Linked DNA regions of Lepisosteus oculatus. The protein of the gene in region 1 purifies or fractionates together with the protein of each later gene. This does not show direct contact. Links are inferred from orthologs where the notes say so. Each region holds a gene or a part of one and is shown in the gene's direction. Other genes may lie near its edges.

Region 1 (7,724 bases):
GGGATAGTGAACGTTGCAGTGAAAAAAAATTGTTGAAAACAAGAATAACCTTCCAAAAAGGAATGGGAAAAAGGTTCTCCATCACCTGATGGAGGGGAAAGTTTATAAGTATATAACAGCAATATTAATACTGTGATTTAATGCATTTTGTCTTGTTAGGTGACCATTTTCCTAGGTTTTACATTTGGCTGGCTTTGAAAACCTTTGCAGGCTGCACTTTCAAGACCTGCCTGCCTCAGCCCGGCCCCAGAGCAGCAGTAAATTCTGCAAGACAGCGAAGAAAGTGAGGAGATTGCTTGTTGCCACAGCGGCTCATCACAGAGTTAATCAGCAGGACGGAGTCTCGGGGGGGCTCTGTGGATGCCAGGTGTGCTAAATTGGAAATCAAACGATTTAAATACAACCTTGTGGCGCCAGAGCTTCATTCCAATTTTCAGACGCTGGTTTTTGGAAAGCCTCCACCAGATTCTTCACTGAGTCACTGCTGTTGATCAATGGCGGGAGAGAAAAAAAGAGACAGAGGCAGCACAAAAAATTTCAGATTAAATGCCTTGACATTTTGGTGGGCGGCAATTGAGGGCAATAACAATGATGCAATATTTATTTCTGTCAGCTGAAAACAGAGATATGTGCATCCGCCTTACGGCCAAATGAATTAGGAAAGCCAACATGTTCATTATTCAGAGACTTACCAGGTGAGTGTAATGTTCCAATGAGTATTATTTATTAATACACTCCAGGAGAGTGGCTCTCTAGGAAATTTAATTTTTCTTATCTTAAAAATTAGAAAAAAAATATATTTGCAGATAAAGAGAATTGTTGTTTGGGGCAACAGGATTGGCTCACTAAACAACATTGTTCACTGTAGCTTTCAAACATTTTGAATTAAAATGGACTTAAAGGGACTAAAGACCACTTTTCATAAGTCTGTTTTTTCTCTAGTAGTGAACTTGTGTGACAAAACCAGTCACTACAGCACTGTGAATTAATATATTAATATATTTTGCCTAAGTGTGTGTCTATTGAATAATCAAATGAAGTCTGTAAACCTGCACAACTCAAAGATTTGTATTTGAACAGCAACCCCCAAAACTATTTTTAAAGCAAGGGGATGTTCTGTAGGGCTGCTGCAGATCATAACTGACATATTTTCTTTTTATCATAAGTGTTTGCTTCTCCTCCTGCTTTCTGTTGCTCTATTTGTTGAAATGAAGGGCTCACACCAAGGTCTTTGAGTAGAATTCTTAATGGTACTGGAGAGACAGATTCTATTTTTACTCTAGGCCTTATCAGCAGAGCTGGTCATTAAATTAATTAGTCATTTACATAGCAACCCTGTCACTTGCTCAATTATTACATCTGTCTTCATCTGACTTGAGATGACATTTGGAGAATGGATCATTAAAATGAATTACTTACTGTACATAGCCACCCATTGTGTGTGGGGAGAACAGGGTTAGGATTAGAGCCATCAAAGATAGTTAGGACAATTGTCCAGGGCTGCAAGCTACAAAGAGCACAGAATATGAGAAAAAGAATACTGTACATGTACAAATGTAATAGAACTGGCGCACTACTGCAGCTGTTCATAACCTTTAAAAGTCATACTGAAAATTCTCTCTCTTCTTTCATCTACAGGGCCACACAGCATATCCTGTAGTATAAGGTGAAGCTCATTACTAAACCATCTATCCATGTTCGAACCACAGTACAATACAGGGCCATGAGGGAGACAGAACCAGACCTGACAAGCAACAGGCACAAGATGAGATACACCCTGGGTGGTCTGCCAGTCCATTGCAGGGGACACACACACACAGACACAAACACTCACACTCACACCAAGGCCAATTTCATAGAAGCCAATTAACTTCCAAATACACCATTGGACAGCAGGAGGAAACCCACACAAACACACGACTACTGCTTTTTCTTACGTCTCCTGGGAGCAGAAGCACCTAGAACATACAGTGTTTACTAACAGAGAAAGAAGCTGAAACAACTCTCCCAGCACTGCAAGTTTTCTGTACCTTTGAACAATTAGTTCAGCTTGTATTTTATGAGTGCAAAGAAGCACTGAAAGTGATCAGTGATGTAGATGAAGTGGTATTTTAACCTCTTTAATTAATGCTGCAAAATAAAACAAAGAACTTTACGAGCAAAGAAAAGAATATTGCTCTTGTGCCTGGGAAAGTGATCTGTGTCCTGGGCACTTTGACAGATTTCCAAATCAAATCTGGCTTCAATTTGCCGTGTGAGGGCTTTTGGAGTCACGTTTCTTCAAGTAATGGGGCTCAAACAACTGCAAGACTTCATTTTCTTGTGTTTAACTGTTAATCGTGGAGCAGCAACCATTGAATGCCAGGTTACTTAATTAAGTTTCCCCACCTCGTGGGACCACTACCTCATTGGCAGGCTCTCTAATTGAGTTTGGAAATGTATCACAGTCTTTTCACTTCCTTCAAAGAGAGGAGAGTGAAAGTGAGACATGGTCAAAATCAATTCGCCTTTTGTGTCTTCGGTAAACTTATTTCTGGAATTTTTCCTTGAAGGAGTTACTTGTAAACGTGAGAAAAATATGAATCTAGTCAAGTCAAGTTCAGGTACTTCAGGTAGGTGACTGAAAAAAAAGTGTTCCTCTGAGATGCATCCTGTTACAGTGGTTGTGATATCTGTTAGCCACTCACATCTTGAAAGTTCACATCTCAGAAAAACGTTTGCAGTTCTCTGCAAATGGATTAATTGCTCTTTCACCAGGACTGTGCCAGAGAATAAACAAAGCATGTGCCAAAACTCATGTGCCACAACTGCGTACTCCTTGTGTTAATGTATTTTATTTTAATTATTTTATTGCCCACTTTCTATTATCTATACCCCCTATCTGTAACAATAGCAAAATTATGACGTTTTTTTTTTCAGTTTCTGCACATAAATATATCATTTAAAAGGTTCCTTCCCACATCATAAGAAAGCCACTTATTCCTGGTAATGCCCAGAGTCTTTTCTGCAAGTATAGGGCACTTGCCCGGAGACACTCATTCATACACAGATAAATCAAAGACATAAATGAATCTCTAGGAGGTGGGAGGAAACCAGGGAGCTCAGAAAAAAACCTTTTTGAAAACGTCTCCCTCTAAACCAAAATTTAATTGCTTGTCTATGTGAAGCGAGACAGGCTATCAGTGACCTGATTGATCTTCTACTTTAATCTGACCTGACATAAAGATACAGTAGATAGGATGAAGAAAGGAGTTATCCCGATGGCAAGCTATTGCGTATCTCCAAAAAATAATAAATTCAATTAGACTAGCATTTGAATTGTTAAATCCCCATATATCAACTGATGCACATGCTATCATCTGTGAATTGAGCCCTTTGTCATTACATTTCCTGAGCGACTGTTGAAGAATTGTGGCAGGTGGCAGCAAAACTCCTTGCTGAACACCAGAGGGCGTGCAGTGCACTAGAAAAGGCCTTGTTGTTCCAAACTCAAATAAGACCTAATAACTTGCTTATGTTCAGTCCCCCCACAAGTAATTTCCAGAAAACAGACTGCAGCTTTAGGTGTTAATTGTTACCTGTAACCCTGGATTTTTTTCTCTCTGTGTAGCATATGAATACATACCATGGCCTGGTGTGTTACGTATAGTAACATTCTCTGCTTCTTGAGATGAGGAATGACAGGTAACGAACCTGGCTTAGCTTTTCTACAAGGACTTCGGTGATAAATCCTCACTTTCTGATATTTCCCTCATTGCAATGTAACAGAAGCAGATATACTGTTGCCAAATGAAAGCACTGACATTTAATACTGTTAGGAAACAATAAAAGTTTTTATATCTGATCTGTAACTTAAGAGTCCATGGTGCAGAAAAAAAGCCCCATAACAGAAGTCTTCCTGGGGCAAAATAAATCGAGGGCTTCTGTATAAAGGAGTGGGGAAGATAATGCCCTCAGTCAGGATTTCAGATGGATGGATATCGGAGGTATCGTCTGACTGGCTTCTTGAAGCTTGGTTTCTTTTTCTACGTTTAGGGCACATGCTTTCTTCAATGTGGGCTTAGCCAGTTCTTCAGTCTCTTGGGTCCAATCACATTGGAAAAGGCAATAGACAGTCACTGTTTGGTTGTGTGATGGTGGGGTGCATGTAGAAAAGAAATACAATGCCAGTTTCTTTTTTGGATCATGAAGAAGCGTGCTTTTGTGGAGTCTTATGACAAAACAGATCTCCAGTGAAAGAGCGATGCTTCCATCTAGAGGACAAGGCGAATATTGAAACCTCACCGCCGACCAAACCTGAAAAAAGGCTTTCATAAAAAAACAAGTCTCAGACCTTTACACAGATATCTGGGAGGATCTGGAGTAAACTGCTTAAACACATTGCGGCTAGCTTCTTTCAAAAAAAGCCTGAATGATCCTTTGATCAATGACCTACCCGTAATCACATGAGCTAGCCTAGATAAATAGCCCCATTTCGATTATAAACCTTCTTATGTTATATTCGCTGTATGCTGTAACTATGGCAGTCATAATTACAGCAGCTTTGCGACAGTGTAGTAATAATTAAAGAAACAAAACTTATAGTTCACTGTTTAATAGCTTTACAGTTATTTTTAAAGATATACCCCGGCACGGCTTACACCTGAATTTCTGTCGGCATAAAACTTTTAACTGTCGCACATGCGCACTGTGGGATATGACAGGAAACAAAAGGGGAACGTGGCTGGTGTTTAAAGGGGAAACCTCACATTGAAAATAACACACTACAGTGGAGAAAATGATAAGTACAAAAATAGCACAAACACATCTGTAACAAACGAATAACACCGGTAAGCATGGTCTTAAGCATTTTTATTGTAAAGTGCATTTTACATAAGGTTCCTGATTTTTTCCGTGGCGTTGGGAAATTAAAATGTCTGTTTTAGCTGTGGTCGAGCACGGCACAGTGGATTCTAAAAGCGAAAGACATTTTACTGGGAACTTGTGCGTTACAGCAAACAGCAAACTCGAAGTGGTGGGAAATTAAGGCCATCTATAATCTATCTGCTCTTTAGTTAAGCCATTTTTGTGTTTTCACACAATACTAAAATCGGTCAAGTTGAAGAAAGTGTGCTTTGCACTACGAATTTTATTTTTTAATTTAAAAGCCGAATAGAGTGGACAAAAATGTTGATGACATAACTATTTCAGCTTGAAACCACGTAAAGTGTTTATGATTATCAGCCATGAAGGGTGATAATCTTAGAATATCTTCATTTGCCTGGTACAGTATAATATCATAATTTAAGACTATCCTGCATGGTGCAACATTGTAGTCATACAGAGATTAAGGAAACAGGCTGCCTTCTGTTAGAATGTTGCTTAATGAGAAAAAAAAACATCTGTTCTCGCGGAACCGATTTCTTTTGGCACAAGATATTTTGTAGAATAGCAGCTGCATTTAAGGGGACTTTGCCGAGTTTTTTTTTAATCAACTGCACCCAATTCACAACTTCGGTCAAAAAGCCCAGGCTCACGCTGAAACTAAACTCATGAAGGAAAAGCGTTGTTTTCTGGGCACTTTTCTTGATAAAGACAGAAAAAAAACTAGTAATCGAATCCGCTATGGCGCGACCTGGAAAAAGCTCCAGGAGAAGTTCTCCATTGCTCACTTTTCTGTGAAAGGCGTTTATCGACTCATCTTCGTCTGTCTGCTGATTCTCCATGCTTTCTTCCCCCTCAGGTGTTAAAGTGATGAGCTAGGTATGCTTCATGCTTAAACTCTGCACCCACCAAACAAGCAGAGCACTTTTCAGCACACTGCTGCTCAAACTCTTCCAGAATCAGGCTTCTGCCAGCGAATCCGTTCAGTCCTTCAACTTCCACCGGAGTGCCACGTGTGCGGCCTATAGCTCCCGGTCCCAGGCCTTCCTCGGCAAGCCTTGGCACGCCTGTGCCCGGACCCCAGCGTCTCGAGCTTTCCACCTGTCCTGGTCCCCGTGTGGCGGCGGCGGCGAGCGCGAGGCCATGCCCGAGCAACGGTACTGCGTGGAGTACGCCAAGCGCGGCACAGCCGGCTGCAAGAAGTGCAAGGAGAAGATCGTCAAGGGGCTGGTGCGCATCGGCAAGATCGTGCCCAACCCCTTCAGCGAGTCCGCGGGCGACATGAAGGAGTGGTACCACGTCAAGTGCATGTTCGAGAAGCTGGAGCGCGCCCGGATCACCACCCGGAGGATCGAGGACATAACGGACCTGGAGGGCTGGGAGGAGGTGCAGGATGAGGATAAGGAGCTCATCAACAAGCACATTGCAGGTGGAGGGGGGGGGGGGGGTGCTTCTGTTTCAGTTAGTCAATGTGGGAATGGGAGTTCTGAATCCATGACACTGGCTCCCCAGTCCTGCTGGTCCTGATTCTGGACCGCGGGTTGCCCAAGTCTCTTCAGAGCCGTGATTCCCAATGCTGGCCCTGGAGAAACACTGTCTCGTCTGTTTTCCTTCTTGTAGTTGAGTTATTAAGCACCGGCTAATTGATTTCAGTTTTCTAATGGTTCGTGTTAGAAACATTTCCTCTCAGCTCTTAGAAGGACCAATGGGATTTACAATTGGTATTGGCCTGGAATGTAACCAATTGGACATCTGCAAAATCTTAATTTATGTGTGTCTGATACAGTGCCACTCCCACCTGTGGGTGTGTCTGATACAGTGCCACTCCTACCTAAGTCTGTTCATTGCCGGGTGATGAATTTGTAAGAGCTGTTTACTCTAAGATAAAGGAAAGGTTATGTGTGTAAGTTCTATATGATGATACAGTACCCTTGACACTCAGGACTGACCTAAACAAGTAAAAACAAGCAAGAATAAGTCAGCATTTAACATTTGAGAGCTCAGCTGGACTGACATATAGGATCATATAGTGTTCCTCCAGGACCAAGACTGGGAACCACAGCCTTAGAGCAGCAGCTGAAGAGCCAGGAGAAGATGCTAAACTGGTCTAATAAAGACAAGAATCTTCTGATTTAGGTTATTATGAGCTCAGCTGTAGTGAAAACCTATAGACACACCGACCCTTCAGGACCAAGATTGGGAACCAGTGTGCTTTTATATGACTGAAAAAGAAAAAAAGTTGGGAACCATTAATTCTTGAGATGGATAATGCTTAAGAAGACAGCAGGCAAAACACTTATTCATGAATCATTCTCACAGATTTTACCATGAGAATGTTTATTAAAATTAATCTGGAAACATATCTTTCTGTTATGTATTGTCCACTTATTCTTTAGGAATTTTGAAATTGGGATTTATTGTAACTCTTATGTTGCTATGCGTAATTAAAAATGTATTTCTTAAAGGGGCAGGGTACAAACTAACAGGACACTGTTTTTTGTGTGTGGTTGCTTGGCTAGATCTGGCTGCGAAGACTAACCACAGCCCTAAGAAGAAGGTTCAGACTGGCCTGGCTGACCTGTCCCCTGTGACGCCACGCAAGTTCTCTGGATTCACTGGTAAGAAGGTGCTGCCATTGTCACAGTTTGCTCTTTCCTGTCCTGTACTGTAGCCAACTGAAAGCCACGAGCAGCAGGAAGAAATAGTCAAAGTTTCTCCAATCTGCCTAAGTCAACCTTTTTTAGAGCACAGTTTTAATCAGTTGATGTGTAAACTGAAGTAAAGAGAACAGGCAAAATGATCCACTAAAAGATCACGTGACATCGCGGGAGTATTTCCAGTTAATAAAAATGGGGATGAGT
Region 2 (6,970 bases), on another chromosome or scaffold:
TCCCTTTCTGAAATCAACACAAATCTAAACTAATAAGCAGTTACTCTCAAATGGTACATTTGACAAACCATTATGCTTAATATTATGAATCAAATATAATGTTGTACTTATTTTATGCAGTTAAATTGTAAGACACTTTGTCCTAAACTGTAAAATCCTCAAACTGTTCACATGCTAATTATTCTTAAACATTGATGATACATTGTAATGTAAAATATATGTATTAGAAATGTATTTCTTAACAATATTAATAACAAAGATTATTTTAAAGGATCAATTTATTTTATTTGTTTAATCGCAACTGCATAAAGTCATCGGTGCTGCCTCCTTTTGAAATCACTGTGCAATAAAACAGGCTGCAGTACAAAGATTTTATGACATGTCTACAAAGAATTCAAATGTAACAATCTGAGTTAAATTAAAATTAATAAAGAATGAAATGGCTAGAAGTGATGATTACATTTGCATAAATGGCTGTGGAATCAGTAGAGAATGGATAGATGCAAGTTAGAAATAGAGTCATAACCATAGGGTAAATTCACCCACAAAACAATCAGATCAATGTATGAAAGTAGGTATGTAAATAAAGAAAAATAACGGGAGAAATAAAGACCTAGAGTGGAGAAATGAGTAACATACAGTGTATGAATTAAAAAATAAAAGTGAGGTATAAAGTAAAGCAGGCATTAGAAATGCTAATAGAGCCAGAAAAGATTAATCCTTTTCACTACTATCACAAATTGGTAATAAAGGATTTTGTATTGAAGTTAAAAAGGTAATTTGGTGCTAAAGGTTTTACATTTAGACAGCACTGTATTGAATCCCATATTTCTTCTAATAGAAGAAGTAGGAAAATGAGAAATATGAATCATACGAGACTCAGGCAGATTCACTTGAAATAGCATAAAAAAGGAATTGCAGGATACTATTAACATCCATCCATTTTCAGACTGCTCCAAACGGGATACTTGCTGGACAGGAGTCCAGGCCATCTCAGGGCACACACAGACACAAAAACACACACACAATTACACCAGGGCCTGTTTTTCCATAAACCAACCTACCAGTATGTCTTTGGATTGTAGGAGGAAACCAGAAGTCCTGGAAAAAACCCACACAATTACACTTAGGGCACCCCAGAAACTGAACCCCACTGTCCAATTGTCCCAGTGTCCCAGTATCCAATCACACAAACAGCAATACTAACCACTGCACCACCAGGCTGCCCTACTATAAATAAATTTAAAAAGCTTAAAGAAACTGCAAAATCTACTGGTGTTTAATTTCCTTTTGGCCATTACCCAGATTGATGTAAATTATAATGCTATTTAAAATAATGCCTTTCATTGGTTTAATTCCGAAAACCTAATGAAAATACAATTATATCATAACTTTAGCCACAATTTTGTAGTAAAGTTAATCACAATTAAGACAATCTGAAAAGTTCTATTTACCACAATTCACATAAAGGCAATTACAGTCTCAAAGCGCTGATTCTCAAAGGCTTATCAGATTTACTCTTTTATATAGTTATTGACAGACGAAGTGCAACAAGTTTTAAATCAATATGACTCAATCATACTCAATCAATATAGAAAAATAACAATCAATTTAAAAAAAAGTTAAATTACCTTTGTCTTTATATAGAGACATAGATGTTTAAAATGTATTTTTAGCATATTGTAAATAATTAACCTGCATCCTTCATTCACTTCATTAATATTTTTCAAAAGTTATTGCCATTTCTCATGGCTTTATTTTGGCTTTTGAACGTCAGCTGCGATTGAAGCATCAGTGCTGATTTTTTGGATGTGAACTGCAGGACCTATTTTTATTCATCTTTTATATATGAGACATGACCCATGAGATGGAATCAGACTATTTCATGACCAGGGATGAAGACTCCAATTGCTTTATGTGAGCAGAGAAAATAATACTTATGTAAAACCCTTTGGTCCTATTCCATTAAGAACACATCAGAAAATGAGGCCATATGCTATGCTTCAATCCTAAGAATGAATATATGAATGTAAATTCAGTCTATGTTGTATTTTAATCAAATCAACTGGATGTTTTGCAGAATAGTGGGTATTTTTGTAATTGGCTTAGAATTCATTATTAGAATTTTGAAAACAAAGAAAAATAGCACTTCACAAACATCGCCACTAAATCCCTTTGCCTCTTCCACTTCTGATACCAATGTTTTTAAAAATAAATGTATTTAGGTGTATTTAAGCATTAACAACAACAACGAATACAAAACAAACAAAAGTACATATAACACTTGAAGACAAAAGCATTGTCAGGAGTACATATGGCAAAATAAATACAAATTATGAAAAAGGCTAAAACAAATTAAAGAAAAAGTCCGCACCGCTTTCATATTTTTACAATTTCAAATAGTCTGCAGATACTCCTTTACATCCATTTTAAAATGTTCAAACATATGATTCTTCCCAGGCCATTTAATTTTGTGTATATGATAACGTGCCATTATAATTAAGTTAATTAAACATTATTTTTTGTATTATTTCCGATGGGGCAAAATTTAACATAAAATCAATTTCTTCAAAGAAAATATCAATATTGGTCTCATTTTTAATGTAAGCTTGCCAGTCCAGAAAGTTTTTACCATGGGACGTAACCAAAATAAATGTTGCAATAGTTTCAGGGCTATTGTCACAAAAAAACACATTTATCATCTATATTAATTTTAAATCACTGGACAACAAGGGTCTTAACTGAGTAAATTCGATGAATTATTTAGTACGAAACCTCCTTAACCTTATAAGTTATACAATATTTATTGGGCATCATCCATTTTTTTTCCAATCAACCCATTTTACAAATAAGGAATTCAAATATACTGTAACAGGGAGGATATTATCATCTTGCAACAGAGATCTTAAAATGTATTACATCCACAACTCAATATTTCCCTTCCTTTTAGTCTGATGCAAGCTGTAAATTCTTCCAATGTTTCTAATGGACTACTATTGCAACTCCTTAAAAGAGTCAATATTTCCCTAGGAATCGCGTTAGAGTGAAATATTGATAAGAATTAATAGAAATTTTATATCTATTAACAAACTCAGTGTAATTATATTGTTCAGGTGGGTAGCTGCGTCAGCATGAGTAGGCTGCAAAGGAACAAGCAATAGGTTTATTCCATGCTGAAAAAAGAAGAAAGAAAACAACGTTTCGGCCATGGAGCCTTCTTCAGGTGTGTGCTTTCAGGGCTGCTTTCAGAAAGGTCACAGTTAGCATCTGTATTGATTTTCAATCTCTGCAGGGTCTTTCTGATTCATACAAAATAATTAATCTAATTTACCCAGTTAAAAACCTTGAAGTCCAGTGATTTAAAATTAAGTGTGCTCACACCTGAAGAAGGCTCCACGGCCTAAACGTTGTGTTTTCTTTTTTTCAGCATGGAATAAACCAATTGTAATTATATTGTAACAACCGCGGGCTTAGGTACGGAATGGAGCAGGCATAGGCCTCTGGGAATGAGGCTGAAAAACACATTTAATAACTCGATCCGGAGATGGCCATGGCCATGGAGTCACAGTACCACACCTACACACACACACCCGAAAGGAAGAGACCGTCTCCCAGCCTCAATCCCTCTATATACAGTCCCGTAGTCCCGCCCCCAGGTGCTGTTCTCAGCCCGCCTTGCGGGCGCATGGCTAAAGCGTCCCTCGTGGCGCTACAATATATTTCACCCTCAGCATTGATAAATTGTTTAACCCAAATTATACCATTTTTGACCCAATTTTCAATGATCAAGGTTTTATTTTTAATTTATATATATATATCTGTTATTCAAAATGGTAAATCTATTAGGGGACTGCCGATACCAACGTTAAAACGTTACATTGCTCAATCATTGCATTGTGCTCGATGTTTTCTGCCTTATCCATGCAACTTTTCTTAGGCTCATCATTTGATTCGTTGAGTCTGCGCTTGAGAGCTAAGGCGGTTTGGCTCCACGCGGGTCATACATTGTGATCTGTGATTGTTACAGCTCAGTAAAAATACAGCTGCAAAATTTAATAAGCGGGCGATATGGCGGATTCACAAGAGGAGAAGCTGTACAAAGCCGAATACGCTAAAAGTGGTCGAGCTTCTTGCAAGAAATGCAAAGACAATATCGCAAAAGATTCTCTCCGGATGGCTATAATGGTGCAGGTAAAGCACGTAATTTGCATTCTTTGATATGAGGAAGAAAGAAGTTTGTTTATATGTAGTTCATGCATATATTAACGCAGCAAAGAACCATCAGAGTGAAAAAATACATTCGATCCTGTGATAATTCGATGGAGTATGCATCATTAACTGATAGGCCGTACTTGGGATTTATTTACATTGCAACTCAAGTGATGGAGTAAACGGTGTCTGCGTTTGAGACCAACCATGTTTCTTGAAACATTCCCTCTTGGTGCACGATTGGTGCATAAAGCACAAGGTTTTATAGTCTGTTTTCAAACGTCTCGAAATTGAAATTGAACTATTGTAATGTTTAAAAAGCATTGATTGTAAAAATAGGTCATGTTATTCGGTTTCAAGCATGCATGAGATGATGAGTATGTAGTAAGCAGTGTTTTCGTGAATAGTTTCCCTTACATTTAGCAACCATTATCAATAGTATAAATTTGTACTTTTTAGTAACTTTATTTTGAATCCGTAAACGAAGTAACAAGATAAACAACTGTTTTGATTTCATTAATGATGCAGTACCAGCTCATACAGTACATTATCAGTAATCATTTTCACTTAATTAATGTCCCTTTTAACTCAGATATTGTACTGTTTTTACAAATGTTGTGTTACAGCCAAGGAAAATACTTTATTCACATGTTGTACAGAATCCACAGAATCGATGCAGTATGTAATTTCGTTTTCCAGACCGTTGTGTGCTGAGGTTGTACAGCAAGAAGAATCAAAATAATATCTTAAATGAGGCCCACTGATTTGTTTTGACTCAAGCGCAATGTATTGATAATCGGAGTAAGTGATCGGTGATGTGACGGGATGTAATAGCCCTTGCTATGGAGTGTGATGATCATCTTCATTTTTCTGTAGCGGTAATGTTACTCTTATGGCTGCAGACCAAAGCTTGTGATTTAACTTCTGGATATTTAGTGTTTTGGATTCGAGTACAGGAAGTACAAGAAAAATTGCACCCTCAAACTCTTAGTTAACGAAAAACATCTTCATCTGTAGCTTTTCCGGTTGTTTAATCTACGTCCCAAACATTGCAGTGAAACTTCTTTGTAGTTAATGTTATCGTAAATGAGTAGTTTTATAAATGTGATTACAAATCCGACACGTTTAAATCGTTTTTTGATCGTTTTTTAAATTTGTGATGTCTGAGTTTTGTTAAAGAGGGAGTCCTGAAGGACACAAAGCAGGCTCTTTCTGTATATTCGCTGACATTACAGCGATCTTTTAACTTATTAATGTGATATCAGCGTTAAAATAGACATTTCTTTGTTTCATACCCTTGTTTAGGGTATGTAAAGAAACATTACAACAATACTGCCGATATTGATGTGATGCTATCAAAAGCAATCTGATCTCCATAATATGGAAAATAAAATGGAGTATTGAAACACTTGAACAACCCCACCCCCAAGAAACCTTAATATAGCTTCTATGTTGGTCTCTTGATTGCCCTGCACCACCCTTTTATGTGATTTAGGGGTAACACTTGACAAATGATACATGCCTTTCTGCAGGACCATAATGCTTCCAAAATGTCAGGTTTCAGCATTTTTTGACTGGAGGGTGACCCCTGTAGCTTACGAGGCACACGTAAACCTACAGTGTTGTGCAGAGCTGCAATCCTCTATCACAGTGGTTCTCAAACCTTTTGGACCAAGTACCACTCCTGATGAAAGCAAAGCAAAAGCAAAGTACCACCTACAAGTCATCTTCTCATAGGAACCACAGAAAACCTCAATGACCAACATGAGTGCGTGCACACACACATATAATAAAAATAGCACTGAGCACTTACCATTTAAACAGGGGTGAGCCTGTTTAATCAAGCAAAGCCTTGCAATGTCAGGGAAGAGGGCAGTGAGCTTCGAATGCAGATAATAATAATAATAATAATTGCTTACACTTTATATAGCGCTTTTCTGGACACTCCACTTTTCTGGGACTCCCCTCCACCACCACCAATGTGCAGCATCCACCTGGATGATGCGACGGTAGCCATAGTGTGCCAGAACGCTCACCACACATCAGCTATCAGTGGGGAGGAGAGCAGAGTAATGAAGCCAATTCATAGAGGAGGATTGTTAGGAGGCCATGATTGATAAAGGCCGATGGGAAATTTGGCCAGGACGCCGGGGTTACACCCCTACTCTTTTCGAGAAACGCCCTGGGATTTTTAATGACCACAGACAGTCAGGACCTCGGTTTTACGTCTCATCCGAAGGACGGCGCCTGTTTACAGTATAGTGTATAGTGTCCCCCTGCTGGCCCCACTAACACCTCTTCCAGCAGCAACCTTAGTAGCGAAGGCATCAAAAACCACACAGCTAATGAGAGGGCTGGGTATTCACTCTGTCTTTGGATCCAGAAATCCTACAGTGACTGGTGTTTCAATTCTGACATCAAAGTCGCATCAGATGATAACTCGAGCAACTACTCTTGTTCAGCACAGGTGAGATCTTTGGGTATTCCTATGACATCAACAGTAAAGGCATTCCTGAGCCACTCTGGTGTGGCCTCAACTGGAAAATACTCTGAAAACTGTTTTTCCAATGACAAGAGGTGCACTGCAATCACATCACATCACAAACAGCAGCATCAGGTGCCCCACTATATGTGTGCAGATAGTTCTCCAAAGTTGGGAAAGCACAGACATTACTTTGTTTTATTAACAAAAAGCTGCAGCTTTTTCGGCATGGCAGTGATCTTGTCAGACAAGTCAAAAATTGTTAAAGTGAGCCTCTGC
Region 3 (6,988 bases), on another chromosome or scaffold:
ATATTGAGGGGCGAGGTGTGGTTAAACCACTACGTTAGCATTTACAAAACTAATGTTGCACAAACCAACAGCACAACGTGACTTAATTTAAAGTTGCAGACCACTCTTAACAAAAACACTATAGAATTCTATAACCGATATCGGTAAACTGCACTTCTATAAACACAAGGTCTACCCAAACTGGCAGCATCTTGCTTTCTTCAAATTCTTGCGTATGTTTAAATCTTGGCAGCTGTTATTTAAAGTTCTGTGGCCAATGTCAACTGAAATTATGGGTTTAGTACGGAGGCCCTGGGTCCACTTCCTGGGGAGCTTCCTGTGTGGAGTTTGCATGTTCACATGTTGGTTGCATGGGTTTTGTCCCACAGTCCAATGGCATACTAGTTAATTGGCCTCTGGGAAGACTGGCCCTGGTGCGAGTGTGTGTGCCCTGTGATGGACTGGCGTCCCATCCAGGCTGTATCCTGCCTTCGCCCGCTGCTCGCTGACATAGGCTCTGGGTCCCCACGACTCTGTATTGGATAAAGTGGTTAGAAAATGGAGGGATGTGCTGTTTTAGCCTTCTTCGGGCTACTAAAAATTAATTTCTGTTGAAAAATCTTCCATGATAATTAATTCATAGAACACTTTTAACCCCATAAGATCCCAAAATAGCATCCCCACTACACAGTAGATCAGATAGAGAAGTGAGAAACCGCTTCACCAGTTATCTGATTGGGAACCTCGGGAAGGTCAGACTGCACGAGCCCAGCATGGAATTTACTCAGGACACCGGCATCAACACCTCTACTCTTAATGAATAGCGTGATGACATTTTTAATAACAAAGTAGTCAAAGAGGCTTAATGTCTCATCTCAAAGATGGCACATCCCACAGTGCCATGTCACTACCCATTATACCAGGGCATTCGTGTGGAAATTCTCATCCAGTTGAAACAGCGTCACCTATTTTCCAGTAATTCCAATGACAGCAACAACCCAGTTTTCCTTGGAAGTCTCTCATCCAAGTCCTGACAAGTCCCTGCCTTGCTTAGCCTTGAACACGTGACAAGATCAGGCCGTGAGGTGGTAACGATGCTGGGCTTATTTGCCATTAGAAAGAACTTTAAAGTGACAAAAGCACAGCAATTCCCAAGAAGTCCCAGACGCAAAAATCTCTGTGTACATTTGGAAGATTATAAAGAAAATCTAATGGGGAGAATTACAACAGGTTTCTAGTTGGAACAAACGGATCTTCAGCACTTTAAACAACTCCCATGAAATCCAAACTGCCATTTCTTTGATCTAGGGTGAAAGCACCAGGTACAGATTTCCTTGCAGAATTGAAATATTACAAGAAATACTGACTGTCACATTAAAATTACATCCGTTTCTTGTCTTGTTTAATCTCATCACAAGTATCAAACGAGAAAAAAGCGACAGTGCCCTCTACTGCCTTAAGACAGCACAATGGGTGAAACAGAATAGTATGCAACACTGGCAAAGCAGAAAGCCTTTTTCCAATTTATTTTCAATTAATGCAAATACCTGAATCATTTATTAAAATAGATAATTGTTTAAATAGTTTTACACTTACACTCCCTATTGTTTTTGTAAGGCATGGATATTTGAGGAATTTGCCATGTTTGACACCAGCCATCCATCCATTTCCTAACCACTTCTTCCAATCCAGGGTCGCAGCGGAGCCAGAGCCAATCAATAACATAATGGGCACAGGGCAGGATACACGCTGGACGGGACGCTAGTCCATTGCAGGGCACACAATCACACTCAGGGCCACTTTCCCAGAAGGCAGAATGTCTTTGGCTTTTCTGTGACTTGTCGGCCTTCCATTCTAGCTTGAACATTTTTGGATCTTTGCGTCAAGACCAATGCAACTCATCTCGTTTAGAAGTAATCGGTCATGTCTGTAGACGGTCTTTGCAACCCAGTTTTCCAGTGGGCTTAAGAACAAGTACACTGATGGCAATCTGCAAGACCTGGACAATTGCAAGCTTACCTTTGATGGCTTGTAGCCAAATATCATGACTATGGCAATCTTCAGATCCTCTCTGTCTAAGTACCCTTTCTTGCTTTCATCACATTGCTGAAAAACCTGTGTTGACCAAAAGGATGAAATTAGTATCTACCCATCCTTTATTCTTAAAGCTTTAAGAAATTATGCCAGGCTGGGGTCATGGCAACCCAGAGCCTATCCTGGAGACAGCGGGCTCCAGGCAGGATTTCCCACTAGATGCCAGCCCTAGGACGCCCACAAGGGACGATTCGGAGATGCCAGTCAAGCTAAACGACCATGTTTTTGAGAGGTGGGAGGGAACTGGGCAGAACCCAAACAAATACAGGGAGAGTCAATTTTACGTAGAAGGCACCCCAGTCCAGGACTGGATTCAGAACCCACCCACTACACCTCCTGAACTACTAGCAGATGCTCCTATTTTGTTTCAATTGGCAAAAAGAAATGACTGACAGGTGCAGAGGCCACTCCCCATCCTGCACTATGGTGATGTGGGTTATACATCAGCGAGCGCCCCCTTCTGGCCCCACTAACACCTCTTCCAGCAGCAACCCTAGTTTTTCCCAGGAGGTCTCCCATCCAGGTACTGACCAGGCTCACACCTGCTTAGCGTCAGCGGGTTACCAGTTGTGAGTTGCAGGGTGATATGGCTGCTAGCCATAATAATATAGCACTTTCCTGGACACTCCACTGAAAGTGCTTTACAGGTAATGGGGATCCCCTCCACCACCACCACCAACGTGCAGCCCCACCTGGATGATGCGACGGCAGCCAGAGTGCGCCAGTACTCTCCCCACACACCAGCTCTCAGCGGGGATGAGAAGAAAGTGATAACGGCAGTCCAGAGATGGGGATTATTAGGGGGCCATGACTGGTAAAGGACAAGTTGGAAACTTAGCCAGGACACCGGGGTTACACCCCTACTATTTCCGAGAATGTGCAATTCTGTTATCTTGGGAAATGTACATTGATTATTATTTTTGTTATCAGCCACTATGTCGAACCAGGCAAGTCAGTTGAAACAGATTTTCACAATTTTCACAATGGTGACCTTGCCAAGAGGATAAGGCCAATACAGAAATTACTTGTTTTCTTTACTCTTTGGTTTTCTCTGTATACCAGACGAATACTTCTCTAGTTTCAGTTTAGTAGTTTTTGCCATGGAGGGTCAGGACCTCAGTTTTACAGCTCATCTGAAGGATATGACAGCTGTGAGCTGCAGGGTGATAAAGCTGCTGGCTATGAACCAGAAATTACTTGTTTTCTTTACTCTTTGGTTTTCTCTGTATACCAGACGAATACTTCTCTAGTTTCAGTTTAGTTGGAAAAACACCTTCCTGTATGCATAATTTATAACCGTAGTTCGTACTATCCTACTATTTAAGGGGGTAAACTGCAAACAAATTAAACCTCAACCAACTACTGCTTTGGGGCGCAAAATTAAGTCATTCCTACCCTGACATCAAAATCGTTCCCGACAGTTTTGTCAAATGATTTCTGAGTCACCGTTCAACCGTGTCTAACGTTACGTGGCTTCACCCGCTCGTTTTCCGCGCTGTATTGGCCTTATCCTCTTGGCAAGGTCACCATTGTGAAAATCTGTTTCAACTGACTTGCCTGGTTCGACATAGTGGCTGATAACAAAAATAATAATCAATGTACATTTCCCAAGATAACAGAATTGCACTGTGACAGTAAATATCATTCCAAGTTAAAATGGTTCTTACCGAGGTGAACTTCTTTATATCAGTTTCGGAAATTTTCGGTTCTTGCCTGCCAAGACTAGTTTTGTACGAAAACATTGCAAACTAAACTGTATTTACGGAAACCACATCAGTTTTTTAAAGAACCGCTTGGATACTGTAAGGTGACGCTTGATTGGTCCGTTCAGGTTGGCAGGTGTGCAATCCGGAACGTGATTGGCTCAGCCGGGCGGGCTTCCGTTTCTAGGGCGAAGTCGTCATCAAAATGTTTTGACTTTAAGTTTATGCTACGTCTCTCTTCATCTTAACGATTTATTAGAGTCCGTTTAATAAAAAGGCTATTTCCCATACCACTAAGTTCTAGTTTTTCGTCAAGCATGTCAATGCTATCGTGGCTTGTAACAGACGTTGCTAATGTTTGAAATTTTTGTCGTCCGGGGAACTAAAATGTTGTTGCACCATTTTTTCTGAACATAGGGGGTCGACAAAGCTTAATGGCGGGGGCGTTGTAGTTAAAATTAAAATACCTGCAGCCTTAAACAGTTCTGTTATTTGGAAATAATGGAATAAAGAAAGTTTTAGATATTTTATTGTTTTAGTAATACGTTTTCAACCACATTACTTTACCAACCATCATTTAATTCTAAACCCAGTTGTGAATTTCTCGTCTGGAAAAGCACCCTGCACCGTTTTATTGCCTTTTCAGTAAGTTTTTAAGTTTGTATTACACGGCGTCCATTTATAGTGAAGGTTTATAAAAAGTGAAAACTAGGAAGCCGGAAACGAACAAACAATTATGCAAAAGTGTATGTTAGGCTGTTTTACTAAATAGTTTGGAAAACAGACTGCTGGATGTTGTTGCTATTAGCAATGGTGCTACTATCAGTAGGTGCGTTCAGTATTGCTTGCAGTTTTTTTCGTGTAAAGTTGCACGATGTTATTGCATGCTTGCAGTCTCCATTGGAGAAACAGAACCCCTCTTCCGGACGCCGAAAGTCTGTTATGAATACAACCAATCTTATCTATGAGAGCTAACATTAAAAATCCCCTTATAACCTGGCATAACAACTCAAAAACAATCTCTTTCCGAGGATTAATACCGCTTCCTATCTTTTGAGATTGAACCTTCCGTATGTACGTCTTTAGTGTTTCCATTCTAACAAAAAGTTCAGGCGCGACCTAGATGTTACTCCTTAAGTTACATTTTATTTTAACGTTTACGATCCTTGCCTAATTTGTTACAGTACGTCTTTAGATGACGTTGATTTTCACCTGAGACAATTTTGTGCAGAAAACGAGGGCTGGAATTTCGGTGGCACCGACTGGTGAATAATAAGATATTTGCTTCACGTGGCGTTGCCTGGTTTACCATTTGTGTGGTGGCATTATTAAACGGAAGACCCACACTCTTTTAGTTATATGCTGGACCAAGGATAAACACAGACGCAGTCATGTGTTTTTTTCGTTGATTTGTTTCAGCACAAATAGGTCTTCTGTGTTGAATAAGGCAGATTTTGCTCCTATCCTGCGTTTATTTCACTTACCTCAGGGATGTCGCAGGAGAGCCAGCATGGAAAGTGGACTCTGTCCAGCAGCGATGAGGAAGACTCTGCCTTGGTACAGAGTAGGACTCAGTACTTCAGTTCAGACAACATCCGACAGACAGACCAGCTGCTTGAGGCGAAGGATGAGCTGGATTTATTCCCTTCGTCTCCTGGATCTGAAGCTGGACAAGCCTCTAGCCCGTGGGAACCCGTGAAAACTGAATCTCCAGGCGCGTCTGGGGAGATGTACCTCGCCCTCAAGAGGAAGACGGAGCCGGAGGACTCTGGCTGGGCCCTCTCAAGCAGTGATGAGGGGTCTGACTCTGAGCCAGAGAGCCAGAAACAAACCAAGACCTGTCTGCCCAGTCCCAAAAGGGTCAAGCTTGACAAGGAGAGCAGTGTGCCGGAGAGGGTGCCGTTAGCCTCACGTGAGCCAGAGGTGGATGAGACCTTGGACACCTGGGACGTGCTGCAAGGAAGTGAACCCTTCTGCTTTTACCTCACCAAAGTGACAGGCATAGAGAGGAAGTACAACGTGGGGGCTCTGAACATTAAAGGTAAACGCAGTGAGCCGGCGTGTTGCGGATTCAAGGGGTGGACGCATCAGGGCACGGGTCAGGGTCTGGGGGGCTCTCTGGGCCTCTTCAGAATAGCCAGCAGCTGCAGGTCCTTGAACACTTAAATTAGTCCAGTCTGCTCAATTAGGTCATGAGAAGAAAGGTGCAAGGAGAACCCATATATTCTGTGACTCCCCAAGATTGGAGCTGTGCATGAAATCATTTGTTTTGCTTTGCTTTTTTTGGGGGGAGGGTTCACATCTTGTCATCTACAATTGGAAATGGTGAGTGTACTGTAGGACCATATTGCTTCTGTATAGAAGGATGATTTTTGTCTTGTTTTGCCTGGAGGTTCACAGTGCTGAGCGATACTGAAGTAACTGGTTTCAATTGTTCTTTATCAGATATCCTCTCTCCTTTATTTGGGACGCTGAAGGAATCTGTTCAGGTGAGCAATTTCCTGAGTCCTGCGGGTATTCATGAAGTGCGAGAGATGAAGTGTCTGTCTTACTGTTCTGTTCATACATTTAGTTTTGTTCAATCATATGCGCGTTATGAATTTTATGAGTTATGAATATTTTTGCTCGCTGTCATTTAAAAAAAAGCACAGTTAAAACAATTAAAAATAATCACAGAGAACACACTGTCTACAGGATCAAGTGATCAAGATTGTAAGTGGCTGTACAATATTTTTTGACTGAGTGAGTTGATTTTTCTGTAGGACTTGGGGACTGTTGTGTGACAGTGAGAAACTATTGAAAGAGCTACACTGTGTTGTGAACAGCACACATGATTCTGTCCAGTGACAGTAGTTCAAAAATGACTTAGAAAACCATGAAACCAGCGTAGGTGGATGAATTTCTTAAGTTTGACATCTCCGTTCCAGGATGTATCTAGGCTGTGTTTCAGTTGCACTTGGGCACATTGGAGAGATCTTTTCAGTCACTAATTTCCACTCATTTTGAAAGACCTCTTTCCCAGTCCTTTTCAGCTCATCCTGGGTATTCCTGAAATTACTGTAAAAGGTGTGAAACCAATGAGCTACTGTTAAGTAATGGATCTTTTATTTAAAGTGTTAATACATTTGTGATAATGAAATTCCTGGGTGAAAGGTAAACAATTCATGGTTGTACACAGTTGGCACAAATAAAGTGAAGTGGTTCTTCAGTTT

Evidence for each region. The genes of interacting proteins can lie anywhere in the genome.
Region 2: the proteins of lig3 (region 1) and parp1 purify together in Homo sapiens (affinity purification with mass spectrometry; 3 studies listed by BioGRID and IntAct, with this or other methods). This does not show direct contact. The link is inferred for Lepisosteus oculatus from reciprocal best matches to the Homo sapiens genes LIG3 and PARP1.
Region 3: the proteins of lig3 (region 1) and tdp1 purify together in Homo sapiens (affinity purification with mass spectrometry; 4 studies listed by BioGRID and IntAct, with this or other methods). This does not show direct contact. The link is inferred for Lepisosteus oculatus from reciprocal best matches to the Homo sapiens genes LIG3 and TDP1.

Annotation. Positions count from the first base shown.
Region 1 is NC_090721.1:1,741,526-1,749,249, reverse strand, and holds the start of lig3 (DNA ligase 3), read left to right. Parts: upstream 1-4,711; 5' UTR 4,712-4,829; intron 4,830-5,722; 5' UTR 5,723-5,751; coding exon 5,752-6,292; intron 6,293-7,382; coding exon 7,383-7,481; intron 7,482-7,724. UniProt on the Homo sapiens protein: Isoform 3 functions as a heterodimer with DNA-repair protein XRCC1 in the nucleus and can correct defective DNA strand-break repair and sister chromatid exchange following treatment with ionizing radiation and alkylating agents.
Region 2 is NC_090697.1:55,842,616-55,849,585, reverse strand, and holds the start of parp1 (poly [ADP-ribose] polymerase 1), read left to right. Parts: upstream 1-3,950; 5' UTR 3,951-4,068; coding exon 4,069-4,191; intron 4,192-6,970. UniProt on the Homo sapiens protein: Poly-ADP-ribosyltransferase that mediates poly-ADP-ribosylation of proteins and plays a key role in DNA repair.
Region 3 is NC_090703.1:2,996,756-3,003,743, forward strand, and holds the start of tdp1 (tyrosyl-DNA phosphodiesterase 1), read left to right. Parts: upstream 1-3,968; 5' UTR 3,969-4,421; intron 4,422-5,195; 5' UTR 5,196-5,267; coding exon 5,268-5,817; intron 5,818-6,221; coding exon 6,222-6,265; intron 6,266-6,988. Other genes in the region: efcab11 (EF-hand calcium-binding domain-containing protein 11), read right to left, coding at 1,999-2,094, 3,741-3,815. UniProt on the Homo sapiens protein: DNA repair enzyme that can remove a variety of covalent adducts from DNA through hydrolysis of a 3'-phosphodiester bond, giving rise to DNA with a free 3' phosphate.